2 linked regions of the Struthio camelus genome follow. The protein of the gene in region 1 purifies or fractionates together with the protein of each later gene. This does not show direct contact. Links are inferred from orthologs where the notes say so. Each region holds a gene or a part of one and is shown in the gene's direction. Other genes may lie near its edges.

Evidence for each region.
Region 2: the proteins of COPS6 (region 1) and torsin-1A-interacting protein 2 purify together in Homo sapiens (affinity purification with mass spectrometry, with the first as the bait; 3 studies listed by BioGRID). This does not show direct contact. The link is inferred for Struthio camelus from reciprocal best matches to the Homo sapiens genes COPS6 and TOR1AIP2.

What each region holds. Positions count from the first base shown.
Region 1 is NC_090978.1:609,707-616,891, reverse strand, and holds the start of COPS6 (COP9 signalosome complex subunit 6), read left to right. Parts: upstream 1-3,805; 5' UTR 3,806-3,856; coding exon of another isoform or gene 3,857-3,980; 5' UTR 3,981-3,999; intron 4,000-4,837; 5' UTR 4,838-4,928; coding exon 4,929-5,052; intron 5,053-5,706; coding exon 5,707-5,832; intron 5,833-7,185. Other genes in the region: lysophosphatidic acid receptor 5-like, read right to left, coding at 729-1,763, 3,144-3,229, 3,857-3,980. UniProt on the Homo sapiens protein: Component of the COP9 signalosome complex (CSN), a complex involved in various cellular and developmental processes.
Region 2 is NC_090949.1:6,528,970-6,536,503, reverse strand, and holds the start of torsin-1A-interacting protein 2, read left to right. Parts: upstream 1-4,427; 5' UTR 4,428-4,622; intron 4,623-5,741; 5' UTR 5,742-5,851; coding exon 5,852-5,885; intron 5,886-7,534. Other genes in the region: torsin-1A-interacting protein 1, read right to left, coding at 429-497, 652-796. UniProt on the Homo sapiens protein: Required for endoplasmic reticulum integrity. Regulates the distribution of TOR1A between the endoplasmic reticulum and the nuclear envelope as well as induces TOR1A, TOR1B and TOR3A ATPase activity.

The sequences.
Region 1 (7,185 bases):
CCCATCCCTGTCCCCTCCTCTACCCCATCACCATCCCTTCCTGTCCCCCACCCCGGTCCCCATCTGTCTCCCATCCCAGTCCCCTCTTCTCCTCCATCCCAGTAACCCATCCCCGTCCCCTCCTCTCCCCCATCCTGGTCCCTGTCTGTCCCCCATGCCGATCCCCATCTGTCCCCCATCCCTGTCCCCCATCCCAGTCCCCATCTGTCTTGGGGTACCCTCTTCTCCTCCATCGTGGTCCCTTCCTGTCCCCCATCCAGGTCCCCATCTGTCCCCCATCCCTGTCCCCATCTGTCCCCCATGCCGATCCCCTTCTGTCCCCCCATCCCGGTCCCCATCTGTCCCCCATTGTGGTCCCCTCTTCTCCTCCATCGTGGTCCCTGTCTGTCCCCCATCCAGGTCCCCATCTGTCCCCCATCCAGGTCCCCTCCTCTCCCGCATCCTGGTCCCTGTCTGTCCCCCATGCCGATCCCCATCTGTCCCCCATCCCTGTCCACTGCTTTCCCCCATCATGGTCCCCTCTTCTCCTCCATCGTGGTCCCTTCCTGTCCCCGATCCTGGTCCCCATCTGTCCCCCATCGCCGTCCCCTCCTGTCCCCCAACCCAGTCCCCATCTGTCCCCCATCGCCGTCCCTTCCTGTCCCCAACCACGCCAAACCCAGCGGTGGTTGGTGGTGGCGTGGGGTGGGGCAGGGGGGGAAAAACCATTGCGACACATCCCCTTTTATTCACCGCCAACACCGGAAACCCCAGGTCGCCGGCGTCTTCGGGGTGGAGGAACCGGCAAGCACCGTGGCAGCGGCGGTGGTGGCCTGAGCTGCCCGGGCCGGTCGCGGGGAGGTGACGGGCGTCGCGACGGAGCGCGGGAAGGACTCGGCGGCGAAGTAGTAGGCGAGAGGGTCGAGGACGGCGTTGGTGCAGGCGAGGAGCAGGGTGCAGCGGTAGGCTTGGTCGAGGGCCGGCCCTGGGGCGGCGCGTAGCTGGTAGCAGAGCAGGACGGCGTGGAAAGGCATGAAGCACGCCAAGAAGATGGCCACGTGGCTGAGCACCATGCGCCTCACCTTGGCGCCGTCCAGCAAAGCCATGCGGGCGGCCGGGCTGCGCCCCACGGCCCGCAACAGGGCCCACGAGCAACCCACCACGACGGCCAACGGCAGGCCGAAGGCCGCCGCCATGGCCCAAGCCACGGCCGGCTGCGTGATGTAGCGGGGCCGCTCGTCGAAGCAGCGCGTCGCCTCCGCCGCCGTCGTCGCCTCCTCCGCCGCTCGCCGGCCGGCGGCGTAGACCGGCACGCAACCCAAAGCGCTGAGCGCCCAAGCGGCCGCGCACACCAGAGCCGCCCGGCGCCGGAAACGGGCCGCGCCGGCGTGTAAAGGCAAGCAGACGGCCGCCCAACGGTCGCCGTTGAGGCCCGTCAGCAGGAAGATGCTGCCGTACATGTTGACCAGCAGCAACCAACCCAGCAGCTCGCACGCGGCTCGCGGCAGAGCCGCCCGGCCGGCGTAATGGGCCACGCGGGCCGGCAGCGACGCCACCAGCAGCAGGTCGCAGGCGGCCAGGTTGCGCAGGTAGGTGGCCGTCGGGGCCGCCGGCCGCCCGCCCCGGCCCAGCAACGCCAGCGCCGCCCCGTTCAGCCCCAGGCCCAGGGCGAAGATGAGGCCGTAGAGGGCGGCGAAGGCCGGGTTGGCGCCCGCCGTGCAGTTGGCGCAAGGCGCCGGCCCGCTCGGGCCCGGCGGCTCCAGGATGGCCGTGGCGGCGGGGGCCTGGGGATGGGATGGGATGGGGGGGTTGGTTTGTTTGTTTTTTTTGGGGGGGGGGGTCCGACCTGCCCGGGAGCCTGGTTGAGGGGGGTTGGTAGGAGTTGGGGAGGGGTCTCGGAGGTGTTTGGGGGTGGTCTCTGGGGGTCCCTGAGGGGGTCTTGGGGGTGTTTGGGGGGTATTTGGGGGTCCCTGAGGGGGTCTGGGGGTGTTTGGGGGTATTTGGGGGGGCTCTGAGGTATTTGGGGGTCCCTGAGGGGGTCTCAGAGGCACTCGGGGGTATCTGGGGGGGCTCTGGGGTATTTGGGGGTCCCTGAGGGGGTCTTAGAGGCGTTTGGGGGGACCCTGGGGTATTTGGGGATCCCTGAGGGGGTCTCAGAGGCACTTAGGGGTATCTGGGGGGCTCTGGGGTATTTGGGGGTCCTTGAGGGGTCTCAGAGGTGTTTGGGGGGGGTCTCTGGGGTATTTGGGGATCCCTGAGGGGGTCTCGGAGGTGTTTGGGGGTGGTCTCTGGGGGTCCCTGAGGGGGTCTTGGGGGTGTTTGGGGGGTATTTGGGGGTCCCTGAGGGGGTCTTGGGGTGTTTGGGGGTATTTGGGGGGGCTCTGAGGTATTTGGGGGTCCCTGAGGGTTCTCAGAGGTGTTTGGGGGGGTCTCTGGGGTATTTGGGGATCCCTGAGGGGGTCTCAGAGGCACTCGGGGGTATCTGGGGGGCTCTGGGATATTTGGGGGTCCCTGAGGGGTCTCAGAGGTGTTTGGAGGGGTCTCTGGGGTATTTGGGGATCCCTGAGGGGGTCTCAGAAGTGTTTGGAGGTGTTTGGGGGGGTCCCTGGGGTATTTGGGGGTCCCTGAGGGGGTCTCAGAGGCGTTTGGGGGGACCCTGGGGTATTTGGGGATCCCTGAGGGGGTCTCAGAGGCACTTAGGGGTACTTGGGGGGGGCTCTGAGGTATTTGGGGGTCCCTGAGGGGGGTCTCGGAGGCATTTGGAGGCTTCCTGAGGGGGTCTCGGGGGTGTTTGGGGGTATTTAGGGGGATCCCAGGGGTATGTGGGAGTCCCTGAGAGGTCTCAGAGTCATTTGGGGGTATCTGGAGGGGCTCTGAGGTATTTGGGGAGGCCCTGAGGGGGTCTCAGAGGTGTTTGGGGGGTCCTTAGGGTATTTGGGAGGATCCCTGGGATATTTGGGGGTCCCTGAGGGGATCTCTAGGGTATTTGGGGTCCCAAGGGGCTCCCAGCTGTGGAGCTGGGGGGGTCCCCGGGGTGTTTGGGGTGATCGGGGAGTTTGGGAGGTCTGCAGGGGGCCTCCTGGCTCCCTGCCCTGACCCCCCTGGGAGGGACCCCCCACCCTGGGGACCCCCCGCACCCTGTCCCCCTTGTCCCGGGGACTCACCGTGCTCCCTCCCCACGCCGGGTGCCTGGTGGGGTCCAGAGTGGCTGCTCCCGGGGTGCTTTTGGGGCCAAGCTCCTGACGCAAGCCTGGTAGGTGGAAACTGGGGAGCACTGGGTTGAACTGGGAGGCACTGGGGAGGATTTAGGTTGGGCTGGGAGGCAGTAGGAGGGGACCGCAAGGCTCAGGATTGGTCTGGGGGGGCACCGGAAAGGGTCTAGGAGGAACTAGGGTGGAGTGAGAGGCACTGGGTTGAACTGGGAGGCATTAAGAGGGGACCATGAGATCCGGGGGGGGGCACCGGAAAGGGTCTGGGAGAAACTAGGGTGGAGTGGGAGGCACTGGGTTGAACTGGGAGGCACTGGGGAGGATTTAGGTTGGGCTGGGAGCAGTGGGAGGGGACCGCAAGGCTCAGGGTTGGTCTGGGGGGGGGTACCGGAAAGGGTCTGGGAGAAACTAGGGTGGAGTGAGAGGCACTGGGTTGAACTGGGAGGCGCTGGGGAGGATTTAGGTTGGACTGGGAGGCAGTGGGTTGAACTGAGAGACATTGGGAAAGGCCTGGGTGGGAGGAACGAGGTTGGACTGGGCGGGAAGGGCAGCAAGGGGCTGGCCTGGAGGGGCGCTGGGAAGGACTGGGAGGTGCTGGGAGGGACCAGGCTGGACTGGGTGGGACTGGGAGGCACTGGGAGGCTGCCCACCCCGGTCCCAGCACTCACCTGGCACCGGCGGAGCCCCCCCGGGTGGTGACGAGGGGCCAAACGGGGCCCAGAGCTGCCCCTGAAACTCCCGGCTGCTCGGTGGCTTCCTGCCACCCGAAGGAGAAGTGCCGGCGCGCCACATCCGGGAGAACGGGGACGCCGTGGGGACGGGCACGGGGACGGGCACGGGGAGGGGGGCATGTGGGGATGGGGACGTCTTGGGGGGACACGGGGCCTGGGGATGGGAGTGGCCCTGGGGATGGGGATGTCTTGGGGGGACGTGGGGCCTGGGGATGGGAGTGGCCCTGGGGACGGGGACATCTTGGGAGGACATGGGGCCTGGGGACGTCCTGGGCACAGGGACACTTGGGGATGGGGACACCGTGGAGATGTGGGGCCTGGGGACAACCTGGGGATGGGGACACCTGGGGACGAGGATGTCATGGTGACATGGGGCCTGGGGACACCTGGGGAGGGGGACATCCTGGGGATGGGGATGTCATGGTGACATGGGGCCTGGGGACACCCTGGGCACAGGGACGCCTAGGGACGGGGACCTCCTGGAGAAGAGAACGTCATGGCAACCTGGGGGCCCAAGGACGTCCTGGGGATGGGGACACCTGGGGATGGGGACACCATGGAGATGTGGGGGCCTGGGGACGGGGACGCAGTGGAGATGTGGGGCTTGGGGACACCCCGGGGATGGGGACACCTGGGGATGGAGACATCATGGAGATGTGGAGGCCTGGGGTCAGCCCGGGGATGGGGACACCTGGGGCCGAGGATGTCCTGGGGATGGGGACACCATGGAGATGTGGGGGCCTGGGGAAACCCTGGGGATGGGGACACCATGGAGATGTTCAGCCTGGGGACACCTGGGGAAGGGGACACCTGGGGACGGGGACACCATGGACATGTGGGACATGAGGACAACCGGGGCGGGGGGGGGGGCAGGGCACGTGACCAGCCCCCTCCCTCCGCCCGCCTTCCCGCCGACAGCGCATGCGCGCCCGCCGACACTCCCGCGTTTCTCCGCGGCGCATGCGCGCCCGCTTCGCCCCCCCGCAGCCAACGCCCACGCCCTCTGCGCATGCGCAGAGGCGCTGAGTACGGCGGCCGGGCGGGGACACGCCGAGCCAAGATGGCGGCGGCCGGCGCCTCTTCCTCCGCGGCCGGGAGCAACGGGACCGGCGGCATGGAGGTGGACGCAGCAGGTACCGCCCGCGGGGGCTTCAACCGGGCTCCCGGGCCTGGCGCCGGGGGCCGCCTCGGCGCCGGCTTCACCCCGCACCCGCCCCGGGTCTTGGCCCCGCCCCCACGACTCTAGACACGCCCCCGGGCGTTGCGGGTCCGGCGCGGGTCCCACCCCTGAGGCCCCGCCCACTGCCCCCTCTGGCCCCGCCTCAACCCCCCTTGGCCCCGCCCCAATCCCCCCACTGGCCATGCCCAAACCCGCCTTGGCCCCGCCCCAACCCCCTTTGGCCACGCCCCAATCCATTTGACCCCCTCCCAGTCCCTTTGGCTCCGCCCCAATCCCCTTGGCCCCGCCCCGATTCCCCTGGCCCTGCCCTTTTTTGGGGGGGGGAAGGGAGGGGTGTGTGTCTCACCTGGGAGGGCCCTATCGCCCTGGCCCCGCCCCCAGGCCCTGGCCCCGCCCCTCCACCCCCAACGGCCCCGCCCTAGATCCTATAGCCACGCCCACAAGTCGTGCATTTCCCCCCCACACACACACAAAAAAAAATCCCCAGGGGCCAGAAGCCCACTCGGCCCCGCCCCCAGCCCCCCTCGGCCCCGCCCCCACCATCCTCGGCCCCGCCCCCAGCCCCCCTCGGCCCCGCCCCCAGCCCCCTGACGCGGTGCCCCCGCAGCGGCCCCCTCGGTGATGGCAGCGGGGGTGACGGGCAGCGTCTCGGTGGCCCTGCACCCCCTCGTCATCCTCAACATCTCCGACCACTGGATCCGCATGCGCTCCCAGGAGGGGCGCCCCGGGCAAGGTAACCCCCCCCCCCGATACCCCCCCACTGCCCCCCGATACCCCCGACTGCCCCCCCATACCCCCGACTGCCCCCAATACCCTCCCACTGCTCCCCGATACCCTCTGACTGACCCCGATACCCCCGACTGCCCCCCCATACCCCCGACTTCCCCCAATACCCTCCCACTGCCCCCCGATACCCTCTGACTGCCCCCCAATACCCCCAACTGCCCCCTCGATACCCCAATACCTCCCTGACTGCCCCCGATACCCCCGACTGACCCCCGATACCCCCCAACTGTCCCTGCCACCCCCCAATACCCCTGATACCCCCTGACTGCCCCCCGATACCCCCCAACTGCCCCCGATACCCTCCGACTGCCCCCGCCAATCCCAATACCCCCCGACTGCCCCCGATACCCCCCAATTGTCCCCCAATACCCTCCGACTGCCCCCCACTGCCCCCAATACCCCCAGATACCCCCGACTGCCCCCTGCCACCCCCTGATACCTCCTGGTGTCCCCTGACTGCCCCCCAGCTGCCCCTGATACCCCCTAACTGTCCCCTGATACCCCCAACTGTCCCCCGATACCCCCCAATTGCTCCCTGATACCCCCCAACTGCCTCCCAATACCCCCAATACCCCCCCACCGCTCCCTGATACTTCCCGACTGCTTCCCGACTGCCCCCCGCCATCCCCTGCCTGCCCCCTGCCGCCCCCGATACCCCCTGGTGCCCCCTGACTGCTCCCCACCACCCCCTGAGACCCCCCGACTGCCGACCAGCTGCCCCTCGCCACCCCGATACCCCCTGGTGCCCCCTGACTGCCACCCACCACCCCCGATACCCCCGGTGCCCCCTGGCTGTCCCCCGACTGCCCCCCCGGCACCCCCCGACAGCCCCCTGGTGCCCCCCGACTGCCGACTGTGCCCCCCAACTGCCCCCCGTGGCTCTAGACTGCCCCCCGCCACCCCCTGATATGCCTGGCACCCCCTGATGCCCCCGGTGCCCCCCCTCGACTGCCCACCTTGCCCCCCCCCCCCGACTGTCCCCACAACCCTCTGGATGAGCCCCCCCCCAAGTCCCCTGGACTGGTCGCAGGGCCACCAGAGTGGTCCCAGTGTCTCTCACAGCCCCCTGGACTGGTCTCAGGGCCCCTCAGACTGGTCCTGGCAGCTCCATACTGGTCCCAGTGCCTTGAGGATGGTGGCTCTGCACTTGGGGCTGGCTGTGGGGGAGGATGTGCGTCCTGCAGAGCAGGGGACGGGGACACCCAGTGGCACTGGTGTGACAAGGTGACCGTGCCACCAACCCTGTGCTGGGTGGGATGCCCCCCCCCAACCCCGGCTATCCCACGCTGGAGGGGAGAGA
Region 2 (7,534 bases), on another chromosome or scaffold:
GGCACTTCCTCAAAAGCAGTGTTGCACGTTGGATGGGGAAGTCTTACCATGACCTGTTTTTGCAACTCAAGACATCTTCTTTTAATTCAGGCTTTTGAAACAAAGCAGCTTTAGTAAAATCACCCATCCCCAATTTTAACCCCCGACTAAACACTGTTCCAAGTCACGCACCGGCTAAAACCGTCCTCCAAGGGCTTCGGAGCGCTCTACACGCACCGATCACTTTGAAAGACCGAGGAGCATGTAGCACACGTATCAAATCAAAGCAGAAGCTGGATTTCCTCACCTGTACACCACAACAGCGGTGAGACCAGCAAAGGAGCCAAAAACCAACAACCGACGCTTCCTCAGGCCTTGCGCGCCTCAGTATCTTTGCAGCGCAAAGCGGCGAACGCAGCAACTTCTCCGGGTGAGAAATCACAACTTACCTGCCGATCTACATGCTCTAATAGGGGGCCGGGTCAAGGAATCGGGACTTCCAAAGGGATGCTCGTTCGCTAAAACGAAAAACATATTAAACGCGCAGCAAACCCGAGCTGGTCCCTCGGCCGCCCGCCCGCCCGCCCCGCTTCGCGCCGCCTCCCCGCCCCCTCAACCGCGGGACCCACCGCGGGGCGCCCAGCGCTGCGCGCGCCCGCCCGCGCCGCTCACCCGCCGCAGCGCCTCCGGGACCGGGCTCGGCCTCGGCCTCCTCCGCCTGCGCCGCTCCTCCCGCGCCCGACAACCGGGGGCTCTTCCGCCTGCGCTTCAGCTCGGTGGCGTCCGGCGGAGCCTGCCCGCCGCTATCCCCCACCATCCTCCCCGCCGCCGCCGCCGCCGCCGCCGCCCCACGGAGCCGCCGACGCCGCCGTCCCCTGCCCCGGCCGCCCGCCGCCGCCGCTCCGCTCCGCTCCGGACCGAAGCTGCCGCCTTCCCGCGGAGGGGGCGTCGCCGCGAACCTCACTTCCCGCCGCGGGGCGGTGCCGGCGGCCGCCGCTTCCGCCGCGCCGCCATTCGGCGGGGCCGGCGGGCGGATGGAGCGCCGCGGTGTCACGTGGTACAGCGGCGCCCCGACCCCCGGCATGGCCGCGCGCCCTTCCCGCCCTTTCCTCTCTGCCCTCCCCCTCCTCGCGCCGCTGAGGCGGCGGCAGCGGCCGCCGGAGCCCGCCCGTCCGCCCCCGCTTCCGACGGGAAAGGCGGCGGCCGTCCCGGCGCCCCACGCTGCCCCCAAGTGAAAAAAATGAAGGAGAGCCCAGCGCGCCGGGCCGGCCCCCTTGGCCCGGCCTCCCGCCTGCCTGCCCGCCTCAGGCGGCGGCGGCCTCGGTGCCTCGGGCCTGGTAAAGGCCGCGGGGGCCCCACCGGCCCTGGCCGCCCCGGCTGCGGGCGCCCTTCGAGCCCGAGCGGGCGGGTGCGAGAGCCCGCGGCACACGGCACCCGTCTCGTTTGGAGGCAAGGCGGTATTTGCCGGACAAATTAACGGGCACCTTGGCGCGTACCAGTAAATACCGCCCTTCTCTCCAGGTGTGGAAGCTGAATGCAGAGGCAGAGCAATGTTTCCGAAAGCAAAAACTCAGAAGAGGGTGTGATAAATAACCTCATTAGGAAGGAGGTTTCAAAGTACAACGGCACTGCTCGTTCTGATTCAAACCCGAGTAGAAAAAAGAGCTGCCGGATGACTGACTCATCGTTTCTGATCAGGCAGGTGACCTGCTGGAAATGAAGTTAGAAGAAGTACCGCTTTATTCACAGGTTTCCAAAGAACAGAACTAAATGGTTACATTATGTAAACAATGACATTAGGTAAAGAAAAATAGGACTCGAAAGCATGTTCTCTATAATCCAGTTGATTTATGATTACCGTTCGTCCTCCTGCAGACTGAGAGGGGAGACTATTCCTCTTTAAAGAAAACTCCTCATCAGACTTGGGTTAAAAAAGGATCAGATTTGTTAAGTCAGAGTTCTGTATGCCAGCTGAAATGCAAGGGCATGAACGCTAAAAGGGAAAAAGCAACATTACACAATGTCAACATGCTTTTTTGTAATAGCTGTGTGATCCTGGATAGTGCCAAAACAGTTTTGTCGTAGCTAATTCTCTTGCCAAAATGCTTTTCAGTAACGAAGCGTGAAGTCTGCAAAGGCTTACACTAGTGCCTGACTTTGTCCTGACTCACGGTCCTTGGCGGGTGCAGTGCCACCATCAGTTTTAGTAATCTATAATGCATAGAGGGTTAGTAATCGGGGGGCTCAACATCCAGGCAGCAGCAAGCAGCAAGCCCAGAGGTGGAGGCAGGGAGTGACAGCGTTCAACAGCTTCATCAGTGACCTGGATGAAGCGTCCTCACACATCTGCAAACGTTACCAACTTTCTCCTCTTGCTCTCTCCTTTGAATAATCTCCCTGCCTTTTCCTGAGGTCCCCTGCAGCTCCTGTCCACTTTGACCACCTTTCCTATTTCTTACTTATGGCTCGAAGCAGATCAAGTCAAACGTATCTTTGGCCAGGCGTGCAAGGTGGACAGCAGCAAAGACCAGGACCCTCAGGAAGGTGTTGATCTACTCACAGCCTGATCTTGGGACTATCCGGCAGCTATGATGCTAGGAGAGCTCTCTGTAGATAAGCCACGGAGACTGTTGCTTCCTGCTTCGCCAACCTCCCTGGATTTATAGTCCTCTACTGCAACCTGTGAGGGGTTGGCCGTGATAAAAGAATTTGCTGAATCTGCCAAGAAAGGAGGTGGACTCTGTCCCCTCCCAGCCACTATCAACAGGGTGGCTCTGCAGTTCCCCGAGGAAGCTGCCTGCCTTTCTTCACTGCTGGAGAGCAGGTGCAATCTTGCTACTGCTACAGGAGGTAGGAAAACAGGGAGATCCATACTGACCATGAAGAAGCCCATCTATTCTCTATCCAGCCTAAATCAGCATGTATCTTAGAAGTATTAGTCCACATCATGCAAGCAGATTTGTTTCTGTCATAAAATCTGTACAATCTTGTGCCCATGCACACATCTTAAAATAAGGTACCACCTTTCTGCTATGACCAGCATGGGTGTTGATACGCATATACACACTTAACCGTTTGTGTAGCATGGCACACGTGCATGTCTGTCCCGTAACCGAGCAATTACAATAGGTTGAGGGACGGACACAAAAGCAGGCACAGGCAGGGGGACAGGTCATGGAGGCCTTTGGAAAGAGGGAGCAGGCCATCCGGCAGGCCCAATGGCCCAGTTGACCTCTTTTTGGCTGTAACACCCCCAGTACAATGGTTCGGGATGCGGGGGGAGTGTGAGGAAAGCGACCACAGAGCGGCACCCAGCTCACATGCTCCACCTAAATGGCATCTCTCATTGCCAGGTACATCCCTGCCCAGTCCTGCATTAACTGCTGGTGGACCTGCTGTCCATGAATTAGTCCAATCCTTTTTTTGAACCTGCTGACACTCTGCCTCCACAGCCTTCTGTAGCAACAAAATCTGAAAGTTTCTACATTTTCTGCATCTGTATTTTTTTTTTCTGCCCACTTGAACCTGACCTCCTACCTGTTTTATCAAGTGCCCCACGTTCTCTTACTGAGGGACCTGGTGAGTAACAACTCAGCATCAATCAAATCCCCTCTCTGCTTTCCAAATGGAAGAGCCCCAGCCGTTTACTCTCTGCTCCATACCTGTACTATTTCGGTTGCCTTTCTCTGTACTTTGTTTCAGCAGTTTGTCACTGGGCTCCCCTGGGGTGCTGGTAAAAAGGTTGCGGGCTCAGAGGAGGGCTCCAGTCTCTGCATAGCTGTTCCTCGCACCGGATGCCTTTCCACCCCACTGTGCCCTGCTCCACGCCACCAGTCCCCTTGAAATGCCCCCCAGCAGGGTATCGGGTGGCAGGGGGCAGAAAGCGTCTGTCCCTTGTGCGGACACAGTGAGGCCAATTATAATGTCTTTTGAAAATCATTGCCCCAGCAAGGCCAGGAGCAGCTGCACAGGCTCGCTCTGGGCTCTTCTGCCTGCTGAGGTGCCGGGCACATCCCCGCGCCTGGTTCCCCTCCAGGCGGGTGCTCAACACGCTCCCTTTCACGGGAATGCCCCAGCCTCCCTGCACTCCCAGAAGGTGACTTTTCCAGAGTCTGAGGGTTGTTGGCTACATTTGGGGCATTTTGTAATACTTCAGTCTTCCTAAATCATCTCTCAAAACAATTTCTCTCCCTGCTGCGATTTATTTAAATCTGCAACACTGTTACCTAACATGGAAAGAAGCTAGTCATTCGGTTGGCCTGAAGGAAACTGCGTGCAACTGCAGAGTTTCAGAAATACAGCCAAAAAAAAAAAAAAAAGTGACCTTTTCCTAAATACTCCTTGGCGCAATGCCCTTGCTGATCTAGTTATTGCTCATTAAGGAAAAGCCAGCCGTCTTCGGAGGGAAAGAAGGAAAACTACAGCTCCCAGCAGCCTGCCTGGGCACCGGGGAAGGGCAGAGTTCACTGTCACGTTGACAGCGGAGGATTAAGAGTGCACGGCTGGGGAACGGGCTGTCCTGCCAACCGCGGGGCCACCAGGCCTCCGGGAAGGGCGCGCGCACGCTACGGTGCTGTCACCAGCCGCCTCTTGCAGCCCCTCTGCTTGGCTTCGCCACCTGGACCGGCTCCAAACCTGCACGGGTAAGCGCTGACTCCAGCAGAGACTTTGCTCCTCCGACTTCCTTCTTCTGCCAGCGTCACTGCGGGGACCCAGCGCGGGGAGGGGACGGGAGGGACGCGAGCCCAGCAGCAATTATATCCCCCCCCAGCCTCATAGGCAGCAAGAAAACCCGGTTATAGAGACAGCATCGGGTGGCAGAAGGTGCCCCCTTCGGCTAGGAGAGCTGCTGTAAAGATCGGATATTGAGGTCTTGTATTTCACGTAAATCTGCAGGAACTGGTCCCTGGCAGGGAAAGTTTCTCGTGCGTTGTACCTGCTCCCTGCTGCTCACCCTTGCTGGCTGGTGGTCGGGCAGGCGTTGCGCTCATGAAACCTATGGGCTGGAGTCTGTATTGATGGGGAAACGCGGGCACCAGAGAAGTCTGCTTCCACAGTGCCCGTTTCCTCTAAGACTCCCTGTCTGGAGGTTTCCGAGTGGTCTTGAAAACACAGCTTCGCTGTCTTCGGCTATGCCAGTAATACTAGCTACCTGCTGCGGGCGGCTGCCTGCTCCCACGGTGCTTCTGCTGCGGGAGGGACTATCGCTGCGGATGGTGTAGGAGAGTCGGCCCGCAGCTCCCAGTTTATTAATATCCATTAATTAACATTAAAAAGTAATTATTAATATCATAATAAAGCTAGGGCTTTGCTCTGTGTCGATGCAGCTGCGTTGTGCAGGATACCGGGTGTCTCCAATTGCATGTAAGAGCCTGCAGAGCCGCAGCCTCGAGGCCTGCAGTCTCGGAGGCGGCACAGCATGGCTGCGGCTGCCCGGCTGGATAAGAAACCCCTGCCCGGGCGTGCTGGCTTGTCCCAGGACAGCTCTGCAAAACTGGTGCAGCCCCTGGACTGTTTGTAGCCTGCTGGGCAGGTGAAATAGTTACTATTGTTTGGGCTCAAGCGCTCGTGTCATGCATTATTGGAAATGCGCCTGGGCACATCCATCCATTTTCACATCACCCAAGCAGCTTGATAAGTACAGACAGGGAGGGAGCAGCCTCCTCTTCCACTCAATCACAGCTTCTGCGCTTGTGCTTATCAGTTTTACTGGTGGTTAGTTGCAATTCCTGAGGCCCTGAAGGGATGGTGTCTGCGTGCAGGGGTAGGACTTGCTCGGCCACTCAAGCGGCAGGGAGACAAGTCTCCTTATGACCAAGTCGGAAAGTGAAACAGAACAGTGCAGAGCCCAGGACTCCAAGAGAGCAAGAAAATGGAAGAGAATCCAAATGCGGACCTCTGCCAAGGTAAGCAAATCCCACTCGTGCTCCATGTACTGCCCCTTTGCAAGAAAATTTCAACAGTGAAAAGGGAAACCTGAAGCAAGAAAGAGAAAGCGGCTATCTTTTGCGGGGGTGGGGAGGGAGGGGAAGGATAAGTTACTTTCAGTTTTGGATTCCCAGCAGCAACAAGCTTAGACTTGGTGTCCAGGACTGTAGCGCAAGAAGGACTCCAGAATGGGAGAGGTTTCTTCCCAGCCTCCCAGCGCTTCCCCATGAGAGGCAGCTTTGTTGTGAAGCTGGTTGCAGAGAGGAGAATACCCTCTCTGGGGCAGCAGGCCAGAGAGAGGACAATCCAGTAGAGCAACTCCCATCGCGGGGATACATGCAATGGGTGGCAGGGGCTGGAGAGCAACTCCTTCCTATTACCGCTGAGGAAGAAGAGGCTCTGTTGAACACTGGTATCTCAGACGGACCCCCTTAGAAAGGCAGCTCTGAGTTTATAACAAAATACACTTCCATTTGAGCAGCGAGCCTCAAAGGCTTATTTATACCTGGCAGGCAGGCACACATTTCACACAGAGACAACTTGGCTCAAGCTCAGGATCCAAACTGCAGAGCCCAGATTCCACAAATCTACAGGTGCTTAAATAACAAGCCCTTCTTCCACCATCTATGGATGGGAAACCTCCCTGGACAGGCGCTGTTTGTGCCCAGTTTGAATAGCAGGATACCTCTCAGGTTCCTCACGTTTCAATGTCTAGCATGTACTTACATTCTCCTGGTACCTTGTTATTAGTAGTACATGTGGGTATTTCAGTGATGCCTAGATGCTATAATCAGATAAGACCTGTCCTAAGCGTTCTGAAATGTTCCCATAATAATCAGCAACAAAGAACGTAATAATCATGCTCCAAAGGACAGTGTGTTCTGACACGAAACCAGTGCAGCTATTTGTCTGTTTTCAAATTAGTGGGGAGTTCCTTGCGATTTTTAATCAATCTTTATTCTAATTTTAGCACAATCATTTCTGTCACTGTAGAGCTAGATCTGTAGGATCATTCACACTCCCGCCCTTTTTGTTTAAAAAAAAAAAAAAGTCAGATTTGAGCTGCAGTGTTAAGCATTTGCAAGATTCCAGATCTTGCCAAACTAATGTTCAGCTTCAGAATCTCTCTGTTGAATTCCTCTCTGATATTTGCTCTTAATTTGCTGCTTCTACAATACCTGATCTTAACTGTTTGGGAGAACAGCTCCAGAACAGGGACAGAGCACAAACAGAGCTAACATTTAATTTTTTTTCAGGCAGATGCTCAGAGTGTTGACATTAACTATTCCGGCCAATATCCAACAACAGCTTTAGAAACGCTTCAGATCAGTCATCTTAATTTACCAGCCTAGGAAAACCACTGTCTGTGGAAGATGTGGTAACATATCCTAACACTTAATGAAGAAACTGCTCCCCATCATAGGGCAACGTTAACGGGGTTTGTGCATTAAAAGCATTTCTATTTACCAGCCCTGGACAGGTTGAAGTGTAGATAGAGGAGTGTGTCCCTAAAAGTGATTAGTCATTGCGTAGCCACTATTGCAGTCACAAATGCAAAGACCCAGTTGAGTCCTTTTTGAAAGCATGAGGCAGCACGATTCATTGGTGATGATGGCTGGTCACAGTA